3 linked regions of the Rattus norvegicus genome follow. The protein of the gene in region 3 purifies or fractionates together with the protein of the main gene of each other region. This does not show direct contact. Links are inferred from orthologs where the notes say so. Each region holds a gene or a part of one and is shown on either strand. Other genes may lie near its edges.

Region 1 (4,198 bases), on a different chromosome or scaffold from region 3:
TTCTTTCTTTCTTTCTTTCTTTCTTTCTTTTTTTTTTTTTTGGCACATGGTCACTTATTTATTTTTGATACAAATAAAAATATGGAACGCTTCACGAATTTGCGTGTCATCCTTGCACAGGGGCCATGCTAATCTTCTCTGTATCGTTCCAATTTTAGTATATGTGCTGCCGAAGCGAGCACGACCCTTTCAACTCCAAACCCTAGATTCCTTCTTAGTCCGATTTGCTTGTGCCTGAGGACAAGCCCAGCCAGTGGCAAGCCCAGGTACCATCCTGTGCATTCCAGTTTACCATCCCGCACATTCCGGTCTGTGAGCTTTGTTTTCCTTCTTGTCAAATCCCATTGTGGCTTCAATGAAGCTAAGAGCCTTTACTTACCTTTGAAAGAATTCATAATTGCAAACTGATTTCAGATTTTAATTTTAGAGGAAAGCAAATACAATGTGTGTTCGAGTGTGTGTGTGTGTGTGTGTGTGTGTGTGTGTGTGTGTGTACAGGTTATGTGTATAGTGTGAGTACTTGTTAGTATGTCTGCATGTGTGTGGTGGCAGAGAACACACTGGGTACACTCCTCATCTTATCTTATTTTTAGAGACTGGGTGTCTCACCCATTTGGCTAGCCTTAATGCCCAATGAACTTCAAAGATTCACTGTATCCATCTTCTTCCGACCCCACTCCAGGCACTGGGGTTCAGGCTCCCCTCTCCCAATACCCAGCTTTTTGGGTTGGTTCCAAAAATCCACACCCAAGTCCCCATGTTTACACGGCACACATTTTACTGACTGGGCAATCTCCCTAGCACCTCCCACAAATATTTCTTAATAAACTAGCTATCTTGAGCGAACAAAGGATCATGATTTTACAAAGAGTAAATCCATAAAACACACACAAGACTCTGGCCCAGGGTACTTAGAAGAAAGAAGTGTAGCAAGCATTTCTATGACCAGCCTGGCAAAGGGTGGGGGAGGCAGTACTCTGATTCCTATTCAATAGACTTCCCACACTTCAAAGTATTCCAGCGCTCACAAAGATAGTATCGGAGTCCAGGGTCAGAACTACAGGGTGGAACTCTGTCCACCTAATACTTAAGTTCTGGACTTCACTCACTAGAGCACAGAAAACTGGGGCCCCATCAGAAGCATTTTAGCAAAGGACTTTAGAAGTATAGATTGATAACAGGTAATGCAACATTCTGGGTTAGGTCAGAGAAACCTCATGTTCCCAATGTCCTCATTCGAACAATTAATTGAACAATTACTCGAGGTTCAATATGTTCTCCCACTTTTTTTTTTTTTAAACTTGACTCTGACTGTGTTCTAACCAGTAGAGCACAAAACGGGCACTCCCTGCAGATCACAGAAAGAGCTATAGGCGTCGTAGGGATTTTATAGAAAGGTCATTTGCTGTATTCATCCTCCACAGGCCTGGCACAAGGACCTGTTCCAAGTCTCCAGCGCCCTTGGCAAACCTCAAGGGGTTGGATGCCTTAAAAGTTGTGATACAGTTCGGAAGCGGGGAAGAGCAGCCATCCAGCCTACAAATGCTTGCTCACTGACAGCCGAGCCTCCCTATGCCCCATTGGCCAAGGAGGCAGGGCCAGGTGCCACGGTAGGGCAGACATCCCAGCTAGCTGCCCCAACTTCTGGAGTCCTGGGGTGTGCGTCCATAATGACAGGTTCTGTTTCTTGAGCATCCACTTCTGCAGAGCAGTTTTGGTGGCTCCAGGAACCCACCCAGGGTTTGAGCCCTTCTTTAATGACCAGGTACAAGCCATCAGTCACACACAACCTCCTATTACCTCAGAGCTCCTCAGGGTTCAGTCATCCAACTCCAGAAACTCTTTCATTCATTCGTGTCTAAATGAAGAATAAAAACAAGTCGACCACCTCCCCCTCTTCAATCTGTCACTCTGTCCATTCTAAAAAGTGCCCCACCCTGTACGGGTATTGTTGGTGTATCGGTGAGGAAAACCCTGGTCCTCTCGGAGTTTACTTTGCCAATGCTGTAAAGTATTCAGTGGCCAAAAGTAAAGTTTTAAATTCTTCTACGCCCATTCTCATGCCAAGCTCTCCAAGAGCCTGATACTGTGCTTAATGTTAACTTGGCGGAAACAATATCCTTAGCGTGCAAGGGACAGACACTGCCCAAGTGCAATCCAATTCCCCCTTCAACTTGACTGCTTCACGACTCTTAGCTCCCACACCCCACCCCCACTCATTGTCGCCTACATTTCAGGTGGCTTTAGGGTCTGCGCTCCCCAAAAGAGGTCAAACAAGAACAATGGAAGGGACCCTCCACAACACACTGCCCCGCAACTCTCAGTACTCACCGAGGAGCCTGCCCAGAATGGGCACGAGTTCTTCACCTGCGGCGAGCTACTCAGCGACAGCGCCCCGAAGCTGAGCGCCACCATGCAGCAGCCCAGGATCAGCTGCAGGAGCCCGAGCGACAGCAGCGGGCGCGCCGGTAGCAGCGCGGAGCCCGGCGCGGCGGGGCGGCGGGACGCGAGCGCGGGCGGCGGGGCCAGCACGGCGGCGGGGGCGCAGCGGGGACGGGCTGGAGGCTGGAGAGCGCCCCGGGGCCAGCGCGGCCGCAGTGGGGGCAGCGGCGGCTCCTGAGCGGCGGCGGCGGCGGCGCCAGGACCCCCAGCCTGGGGTCCGCCCGACAGCCCCGCCACCGGGCAGCAGGAGCCCGGGAGCACCACCGGCAGAGACATGGGCGCGCGGCGGGCGGGCGGCGCAGCGGAGCGGAGGGCGCCGCGCACCGGGCACCCGCGCCGGCGCCGCGCAGGACGGACTGCGCACGGCCCAACCACTTGCTGCGGCGGGCAGCGCCGGCCGCGCCCACCTGCCCCGCGGGGCCCGCCCCCTGCGGTCCCCTCTCGGTCACCCACGGTGACAAGTGCGCCGTCGCCTTGGGGTCCACCCGGGAAAAGTGTCCGAGAACGGCGGGGGCCCCGCAACTAGCGGCCCAACCGTTCTCAGAGTCTGTCCCCAACCGTGGCGCCAAGGGACGCGTCGTTGACCCAGGTCCCTCAGAGGGACCTGGCGACCTTTAAATAGGAAGGAGTCCCGCGTGCTTCTCCTCCTCCTCCACGCCCGGAGGAGGTGCTGTGGGCGACCCGACGGGAAAAGGTCCTAGCGGGGAAGAGGACACTCGCTGGACGTTACCGCCCGGGAATGCAACCGTATCTATGGCTTCTACGGAGAATTCCCGGTTCTGTCGTTGCAGCTCTGCCGGGAGGTAACAGGGTGCTTTCCCAGCACCAGAGTGGAAACAATAGTGGCAAGGCCAGGTTACCTTGGAAGTCACTACTCAGCATTCACAATGGAAGAGCCCAGGGCGGCCCTGTGCAGTTGGCAGGGGTCACATCCTTTTAGCTTTGACCCGGAGCTAATTGGCATCACCTGATAGAACACTGACTCCCAAACTTCTCAGGAAATGGTCTAATAAAATCTTAATCTGCCTTGGTAATGTATAATATATTTATCGAGCTTTGAGGGCAAAAAAGCAATTATTCACCTTTGCACAAAAAGTTTCCCCTACTAGAATGCCTAGATGTCTAAGGTGTCATAGGTAAGATGGTGATAGTGAACTTCTTTTCCAGGTAAGAACCAAAGCAGTGTCAGTTTGCAGCCAGTTGTAGCATTTGAAAGCTTGACTTATTGGAAAGGTGAGGGAATCTAATGTCCTCCTGCTCAGTGAAACAAGAGAAATGGAGGTTTGTCTGTGTGCTCTGCACATGAAGACTGTATTTATGTTGAACATCATGTCACGGAATGTGATATATATCACCAATGCACAGGTGTTTACATGCACACCTTTTAAGTCATAAAGCCACCCGTGTTTAATAGTACCTGGCACTTCCATTCAGACTGCTCCCAGGAATAAACTTCAAAGTCCGGGGTGGTGGGGGTGAGGGTGGGGTGGGGAGTAGTTTGGCTTTTGTTTTGTTTTTAAATGAACACGGAAAATCTGATGCCTCGTGTACTTAAAAACAAAAACCTACAATAGGTTCTCTTCCATGGCACGTAAAGATGAGTTAAGTTACAACTTTTCTCTTTTAAACACAAGTTTAAAAGTATTTAATTCTTAAGGCTGGATGACAGCCTGCAACACAGTATGTCTGCTTGAGTGTTCAGACATTCTCTCAGGCTAAATAAATCTATTCTATTGGCCAGAGCCTGACACCTGAA
Region 2 (4,308 bases), on a different chromosome or scaffold from region 3:
CTGAAAGGTCTGCCAGTGTCCCCTCTCCCTTCCTTATTCCCTGCCACCAACTTAGAATCCAAGAATGCAAGGGGCCAGCTGGGGACCGTGCTCTCATTCCCCTGTGCCCAAGGCAAGCCGGAAGCCTGACGCATCAGAGCACAGACCTGTTGGCCAGGTAGAATCTTCCTGTAATTGTACCCTACAGTTCCACGAAGCGTGGCCCCATCTCGGGCGTCAATGGCCCAATTTAATCCTCCCCACAGGGGCCAAGTGCACAAATAGCTCTCAACGTACAGAGATGTCACCCATGGCTGGCTCCAGATGACGTTAACACAAGTGACTGGTACATCTGGTGGTGGCTTCTCTTTTTCTACCCAGATGTTTGAGGTCCTGTTGGCACACCTGTCACCCAGCTGCTGCGCCAAAGGAAAGCCCCCTAGCCCTTTTCTTGTGGGAAGAAAAAAGGGGATCTGGCCAAGGGGGGCAGGAAGACCATCTGTGTGTGTACCCTAACCCAGTCCCTGGGATGGGTATCTCCCTTCCAGGTTTCTCTGATCTTACACCCCCACCCCGTGGCTCGAGAACGTCCCACGGCTCTGAATGACTCCCATACCAAGCAGTGGGTTTTGCAGACTGCACAATCATGGCTCACGTCTAGGGACTTGAACGGTGGCTAGGAGGTGACCTGCTCATCCAATGCAAAGAATGGCCCAGCCCTAAATAACACTGGAGCACCAGGAAAGGCTCAAAGGCTCAACTTTACACAAAGCGCTCCTCACTTCCTCCTCCCCAACCCTCTCAGTCGGCTCCGGAACCAGGCACATCTCACCTCCTCACACCCACCAGCTCCTCATCCACACTCCCCCTCCCACACTGCAGCATCCCCACCCGTGATCACTTGACCCACAGTCTCCTGGGTCTCTATGGAAACAGGACACCACTGATGCGTCCACAGCTGAGGTGCTTGGACCACACCAATAAGACGAGAGGCCACAACAGTTGCATGATACGGCCTGCCTGGTTTATTTACTTTTTAATATATTTACGACATTCTGAGATGCCAGACAATTGGAGAGAAAGCGCTTCTCTGAAAGGCAGGGACGGGGCCACCAGAGCAGATGGACCAAGGGTCCCAGCAACTACAAGACCCTCCACCCCACTGAAGCCACTTAGTGACCACCCCTCCCAGCATACTGCAAATACCTGCGTTCAAAACTCCCATCCTCGGCCCCTAGTCCCCACTTTAGATAAGGAAGCAAGTCCCAAGTAGGGTTTTCCCAGGAGCTCAAACAGCTGGCTCGAACAGAGGTGGCATCAGGACCCTCATCACATGCTTCCCAGAATGCTGTGCCATCTCAGAGATGACAATCCGAAAGACTCGATGCCAAGACAGAGTGCTACCGCCCCTCAAAGCTCCTGTCCTGGCTGAGGCTGTGGGACAAACTCTGAGCTCCTCACCCCCAAGCCAGGTCCTAGATCACTGGTTCTCAGCCTGTGGGTCGCGACCCTTTTGGTGACTATCTCTAAAGATATATTTACGTTACGATTCCTAACAGTAGTAAAATTACCGTTATGAAGTAGCAATGAAAATGATGTTATGGTTGAAGGGGGTCACCACAGCATGAGGAACTGTACTAAAGGGTTGCAGCGTTAGGAAGGTTGAGAACCCCTGCTCAAGGTGGACCGGTGGGTCAGGACACACTCATGAAAAGTCAGGGTGGGGGCATGTTGCACACGTCCCTCGCAAGTTATAGTTATCAACTTCACCCACACAGACACCTAACATGCAGCTCTCTTATCGTCCCATCTTTGTTTTTGATCTAAAGAAACAGGCTCAGAGAGGTTAAACAAGTCATCTGATACTGCACAGCAAAGACTGGGAATGATGGGGGGGCGGGCAGAGAGGCACCCAGAAGGGCTTAAGGACAGAACTGGTTTGTACCACCGCCTGGTCACACTGCCTGTGGCCGGAAGCAGATGTCACCAGGCCCTGTGCAGCAGCCTACTGATTTGGGTTGATTTTGAGGAAGCTCTTCCAGGCCCAGGAGAGCTGTTAGCCACAGGTTCTGTCTGAGTCACTGAAGCCAGAAAATGTTTGGGCCTCAGGGAGCTAACTGTGGCCTGGGGCGGGGGCCAGGGGTAAATCCCAGCAGAAGAGAACAGAGACTCCAACCCTCGGCCACTCCAAAGGGAGAGCCTTATCCCTGGGGACTAACACTAGACCTGGGGTCACACTGTGACAGTGACAGCCACTGCGACATGCTGGCGGCCCCCAAGCAGTTCCCCAAACACAGAGCTTAAGTTATCCTTGAAGGGAGAAGGCGGTGGCTTGGCTGAGCTGTGAGCTGAGAGGAAAGTTTCCCTGGTCCCCACTAGAAGTCCAAAAGTGTAACCCTAGACAGAGCCCAGGCTAGGATAGGACCCAGAAAGCCCTACACCCAGGTGTGTGTGTGGCCTGGAGCCCTGGAACAATCCCAAGCTGCACTCCTCCCCGTTGCCAGCCTACTCTCCCCTTCGCACACTACAACCTTAAGGACACTCTTCCGCTCAACTCCATAGGGAAATACTGAGGCACCCAGTAGCACACAGCTTGTCCAGGGTCCCACAGACAAGTAATAGATAGCCATCCCCCAGTTGGAAGATCCCAGTACGTCCTCACGCACGCACACACACACACACACACACACACACACACACACACACACCAGACACCCCAATACTCACTATATGGTAGATGGCCAGGGCTACGGTGGCAACTCGGACATTGAAACAACAGCATGTCTGCCTGACTGGCACTGCACGGGAGGCCATGGTGCACGGTCCCCTCTTCCGAGGCTCTGAGTAAGGAGTCTTGGGCCCACAGCAGGGCAAGAAAGAGGAAGCCGCGGGCTGTCCGCCTCACTTCCGCCTTGCCCTCAGATGGTAGGGGCCAGGTCTGTAAGTCTGGGATGTAGCAGCTGCAGTGGGGAGGGAAGAGGGTTTGTCACAGTTGACATCAGGGAGCCCGAGTGGGGCTCCAATGCTTCACCAGGGCCGGGCTATGCATTTATACGCACTCCGCTTCCTGGATGCTGAATACCACCCCTAGAAGCCCTTTTCTAGAAGAAGAATCAGATAAAACAGTAATTCTAATGGCAGGATTCAAACCCAGATCTGCCTGGTTGTAAAAACAGCAGCTGTCAGTAAACTGCTTCCTTGAGACCCTAGGGGCTTAGTCCCTCTGCTCCTCACCTGGGCTGTTCCAAGAAGGAACTGTTCTTCGGTTTTGGTTTGGTTTGGTTTCTCTGTGTAGCCCTGGCTGTCCTAGAACTCACTCTGTAGAGCAGGCTGGACTGGAACTTTTAGAGATCTGCCTGCCTCTCCCTAACAAAGGCATATGCTACCACTTTCCAGGAAGAGGTGCTACTCTTATCCCCATTTCTACAGATGGAAAAACTGAGGCACAGGATGATGTCATTCCTCGCCTGCAGTCTCAAAAGGAGTGGGGACTGGAACGGAGGCCAACTGACTCCAGAGCAGTAATTCTCAACCTGCGGGTCATAACCTGCCTTTCACGGAGGTCACACATCAGATATGATGGATATCAGACATGTACATTACACCTCATAACAGCAAAATCACAGTTATGAAGTAGCAACAAAAATAAATTTATAGTTTGGAGTCACCGCAACGCGAAGAACTGTATTAAAGGGTGGCAGCATCAGGAAGGTTGAGAAACGCTGCCCTAGGGGCTCTCCCTGAAGCCAAGCTTCTCACACAGCTCCACCTCCTCGTTCTGAGCTCTGAAGGAGAGAACTGTCGCTGTGAGAAGCCATAGGCATGAGTATGGACCAGGCCCTGTAATAGGCTCTTTCTCTTACAGTCTATAACCTCTGGAGGTGATCTGGGAGACCCTTGGCCAAACCCACTTTGTGGGGTCACCTGAAACAGAAAACTGGGATTGCGCATTCTTTCTCACTCCCTAGGAAATGTTGGCATTAGTAAGCTTGAAACTTTTCCCTGGTGTCTCGGGGGATAAATCACCCACACTGCAATAAAGAAGGGACAAGGTGCCCTTGCTTCAGACCTGGGGGAGCCCCAAGCAGACAGAAAGGCAGGAACCGCTAAGCCCCGCCTCCTGTGACACCGTGGAGTTCGGATTGGACACCACAGCTGCTCATCATTTTTTGCCAGGGGAGAGATTATAAACGGCCCTCAGCATCCTTGTCCTGAAAAGGGTTGTTCTGGCAGGACAACAAAATCAGGCATGTTGAGCTCTGGGGAGATAGCTTACTCGATAAAGTATTTGCCGAGCAAGCTTGAGGACCGGAGTTCCTGAGCTGGGGT
Region 3 (3,556 bases):
AAGGCTGATTTTGGGATTTGGCTACAAAAGGGACTCAACTGGCTGAGGTTTCATCCTATTGCCCATAATGTCTATGGCGGCAGCCATCTTGACAGTCTAATGCTAAGCCAAGGTGAATTAACTACAGAGAAGGTCAAAGTGCATTCATCAGTTACTAAAGGAGCAGTCTAAGATAAATGAGTCATGGAAAGAAAAGGGAGATCTAAAATTTTTAGAGGTGAGAAAACTATTGCGGATCAGGACCTGAAGAAGGTAGAAACGGCTCCTGCTGTGTCAGGAGTGGAGTGTGAAGACAGCGCAGCTGTGTGGCTGCTGGATGCTGTTCTGACTGCAGACACTGCACCACTGAACTGACCTCCATCTGTGTTAGAAAATGGTTGCAATTTGAATATTTTAGCAAGGATGAAATGTAACTAAGGTGTTGGATTACATCAACACCATTAAGCTTTAATTTATGTGTAGAATTTAAAAATCAGGAATGATCTTACATGAATTCATCTGAACTTATTTTAATTCTAGATAAATTTCTAAAAACCGTGAGGGAGCCACAGTGCTGATACTGTCTGTAAGTATGGTTTCATATGTGCAAGGCAATAAACAATTACAAACTGAATGAAGAGAGGTATGAAGTCATATGTTGGCGGGGACCAAGTTTTCCCTGAATTCAAATAGACACAACTACTTTGTAGAGAAATGCAAGTCCTGCGTCACTTCCAGAAATAACAGCAGGATGGTGCACTGGTCATGCTTCAGGAATGAAAAACAACAGTCAGGCCAGGCTGAGAAGAGCGGGAGAGCACAAGCTGCAGCTGCTCGTGTGCCCAGACGCTGGGTTAAGCTTGCACCTCTTAGCTAGAGGCTTTACCAGGAAGACCTTGTGTACTGCAGTTTCTGAGATGTCCCTGCAAAGCCCTTTACAACAGCCACTAAGAGACCTGCGCCCAAGTGAGACTCCGGACAAACAGCAAACTGTTGTTAAGGGAACAATCTAGTGGAGTAAGACAGGGAGAATTCATCGCTGTGTTAAATCTCATGTTAAGTTTCTGACTACTGTTTGTAGATCTGCTTTCTGGAAACGTTGAGTAGAAATCCAGAATGACTGGAAGATCTCAACGATAACATTAATTTACTTACTCTCAGATAACTCTCTAGTCACAGTCCAAGTTTACAATAAGATGTGCAACAGGCAGAGAAGGAAAGGGACAGACACTGCAGACGAGTCCCTGGCCTCTGGTGGCCTAAGGTCTCAACAATTACTCTTGTCCAAATCCTTCTGTTTCTTCAATGGCAAATAACAGCTTTTCCTTCAGTTGCTCATAGCTCTTGTAGGGTGGGAGGTCCAGGCGGTTAAAACTGAAAGAAAGAATTGTTGGCTTGAGAAAAGGAAACTACAAAGATGCACAGGCAGTGCCCACAGCATCACTTCCGAGGTCTGACAATGTGTGATTAAACCACACAGCCTTCAAGAACTGCCTTTACCCTTCCAAGTGTCTTCTCTGGTAAACTGGGGCAGCAGCACCCACCACGGTGGTACAGTTAGAAACAGGCACACAGCACCTTGCAGGTACTTAGCAGACCCTCAGCAAATGCCAGTCTTCTCCTGCTGCTCCAACTACCCACTGTGGCCCAGTGGTCAGCAATCTTACTGTAAATGCAGGTGGTTTTAGGTGTATCATGTTAGAATACGAAATGAGGGACCAGCTGTGGTGGCGCAAGCCTTTAATCCCAACAACAAGAGGAAGGGGCAAATGGGCCTCTGTGTGTTTTAGGCTAGCCTGGTCTATGTAGGAAGATTTTGTCTCAAACAAAATCCATATAAACAAACTAAACTAAAATGATCCTCACCTAATACTCTGTTCCCTCTAGAGTCTCCTGTTCTGTTCTTAGCTGTGAATTTCTCCAGCAGAGCCATAGATTTTTTTTTAAAGCAGGGTCTGGTTTCTGTATGTTTCTTTTTTTTTTTTTTGTTCTTTTTTTCGGAGCTGGGGACCGAACCCAGGGCCTTGCGCTTCCTAGGCAGTCTGTATGTTTCTTGAGGCTGGGTCCCACAGTCCAGGCTGCCCTCCAGCTCACTGTATAGTTAGGGTGATTCAGGGCTTCCAGCCCTGCTGCCTTTACTTCCAAGCCCTGGAACTGCAGGCTTTATGCCGCCATCCCTGTCCTAAGTGTCCTCACATTTGTGCAATGCCATCTTCATAAGGTAGCAAGGAAGCTGCTCCTGAAGATGTTACTCATGAAGGAAGATAACTGAGCTTTGTTATCTCTTTGTCAGTATGTTTATGAAGAGCTGGTGAATTAAAACATACGTGTACAACATGAGTGCAAAACCAGTTATATTCTTAGATGGCTCAGCAGGTCAGATGACCCAAGTTATGTCCCTGAGACCCATGTGGTACAAATGAAGGAAATCCTTCATGGCCCTGCCATGTACAAATGTAGTAAGACATCTGCTTCATGTATCTGCTTGTCTGTGTTGATTGTGTACCACATGTGTGTGGTGCCTTTTTAGGCCAGAGAAGAAAGAGTGTCAGGGTCCCTGGAGCTAGAGTAGGTGGTGGTGGTCACCTAAGAAGCTGCTTTCAACCACCAAGCCATCGCTCTCTCCAGCTCATTTCAAAACAAGAAAAAGAAAAAAAGAAAAAACAAACAAAAAAAAAACCCTCCAAAAATCTCCCAAACTGAGCACAGGTCCACACCTTGCTAATAAACTCAGAATGTTAAGGATGAGGCAGAAGGATCCTGAGTTTAAGGTTGACCTGGGCTGCCTAATGAGACCCTACCTTAAACAAAAACCAACCAATTACTTCCTAGGCTGGTGAAATGGCTCAGCTGGGGAAGAGCTTGCTGCCTTGGGTCAGAAGGTGGAAGAAGAAACTGACTGTGTAGAGCATCCTGTGACTTCCTACCGCATGCTACTGCAGCGCCTCCACGCCCACAGACAGACATGCACACACTCAGATAGGCTCATGAATGTAAAAAGTGGCTTCCATTAAAACCACACTCCTTTCTGTAGTAGAACCAATTTTAATCTTGCCCCTGGCTAGCTTACAAACACGTGTAACTCGGACTATGGTTATTTTATTTGGCTTTGATAATTACTGAGGGGCAACCTTTAATCTGCTTCTCTAACTGCTGGCCTGGCCACCTCCCCACCCCAGCGGTGTCCCCTAGATGCCTGGTGTTTCTCCAGGCCTGCGCTAGTGCCACAGCCCATCTCCTCTCTGGTACTGTGTCCCCTCTCCCCATTCAGTCTTGGCCTCTAGCTTCTCCGCCTCCAACCAGGTAACTCAAAACCCACCTATCTTATTTAACCAACAGTTTTAAACTAGGAAACAAGGTTTGCACAACAAAAGCCTGTAACTGTGAGAATTCATTCACAGGCCTAGAGCTTAGGATACAGAATTTAGCATTACAATACAATACATAGCAACAGACCAAACCTCAACAGCTTTCTTAGTGTGAATCTGACTCCCTGCTGCTGCCAGTAGCCCCTACAAAGTCAACTGTGTGTCCCTAGGGGTATTGTACAAAATAAATAATTTACACCCCCCCCCAA

The links. The genes of interacting proteins can lie anywhere in the genome.
Region 1: the proteins of Itch (region 3) and Entrep1 purify together in Homo sapiens (co-immunoprecipitation; 3 studies listed by BioGRID and IntAct, counting the BioPlex papers as one, with this or other methods). This does not show direct contact. The link is inferred for Rattus norvegicus from reciprocal best matches to the Homo sapiens genes ITCH and ENTREP1.
Region 2: the proteins of Itch (region 3) and Laptm5 purify together in Homo sapiens (affinity purification with western blotting; 3 studies listed by BioGRID and IntAct, with this or other methods). This does not show direct contact. The link is inferred for Rattus norvegicus from reciprocal best matches to the Homo sapiens genes ITCH and LAPTM5.

The regions. Positions count from the first base shown.
Region 1 is NC_086019.1:231,070,011-231,074,208, forward strand, and holds the start of Entrep1 (endosomal transmembrane epsin interactor 1), read right to left. Parts: upstream 2,801-4,198; 5' UTR 2,719-2,800; coding exon 2,332-2,718; intron 183-2,331; exon of another isoform or gene 76-182; intron 1-75. UniProt on the Homo sapiens protein: Functions as an activator of the E3 ubiquitin protein ligase ITCH in the ubiquitination of the CXCL12-activated CXCR4 receptor. Thereby, triggers CXCR4 endocytosis and desensitization, negatively regulating the CXCL12/CXCR4 signaling pathway.
Region 2 is NC_086023.1:148,370,372-148,374,679, reverse strand, and holds the start of Laptm5 (lysosomal-associated transmembrane protein 5), read right to left. Parts: upstream 2,801-4,308; 5' UTR 2,794-2,800; coding exon 2,707-2,793; intron 1-2,706. UniProt on the Homo sapiens protein: May have a special functional role during embryogenesis and in adult hematopoietic cells.
Region 3 is NC_086021.1:164,189,242-164,192,797, reverse strand, and holds part of Itch (E3 ubiquitin-protein ligase Itchy homolog), read right to left. Parts: intron 1,354-3,556; coding exon 1,254-1,353; 3' UTR 1-1,253. UniProt on the Homo sapiens protein: Acts as an Acts as an E3 ubiquitin-protein ligase which accepts ubiquitin from an E2 ubiquitin-conjugating enzyme in the form of a thioester and then directly transfers the ubiquitin to targeted substrates.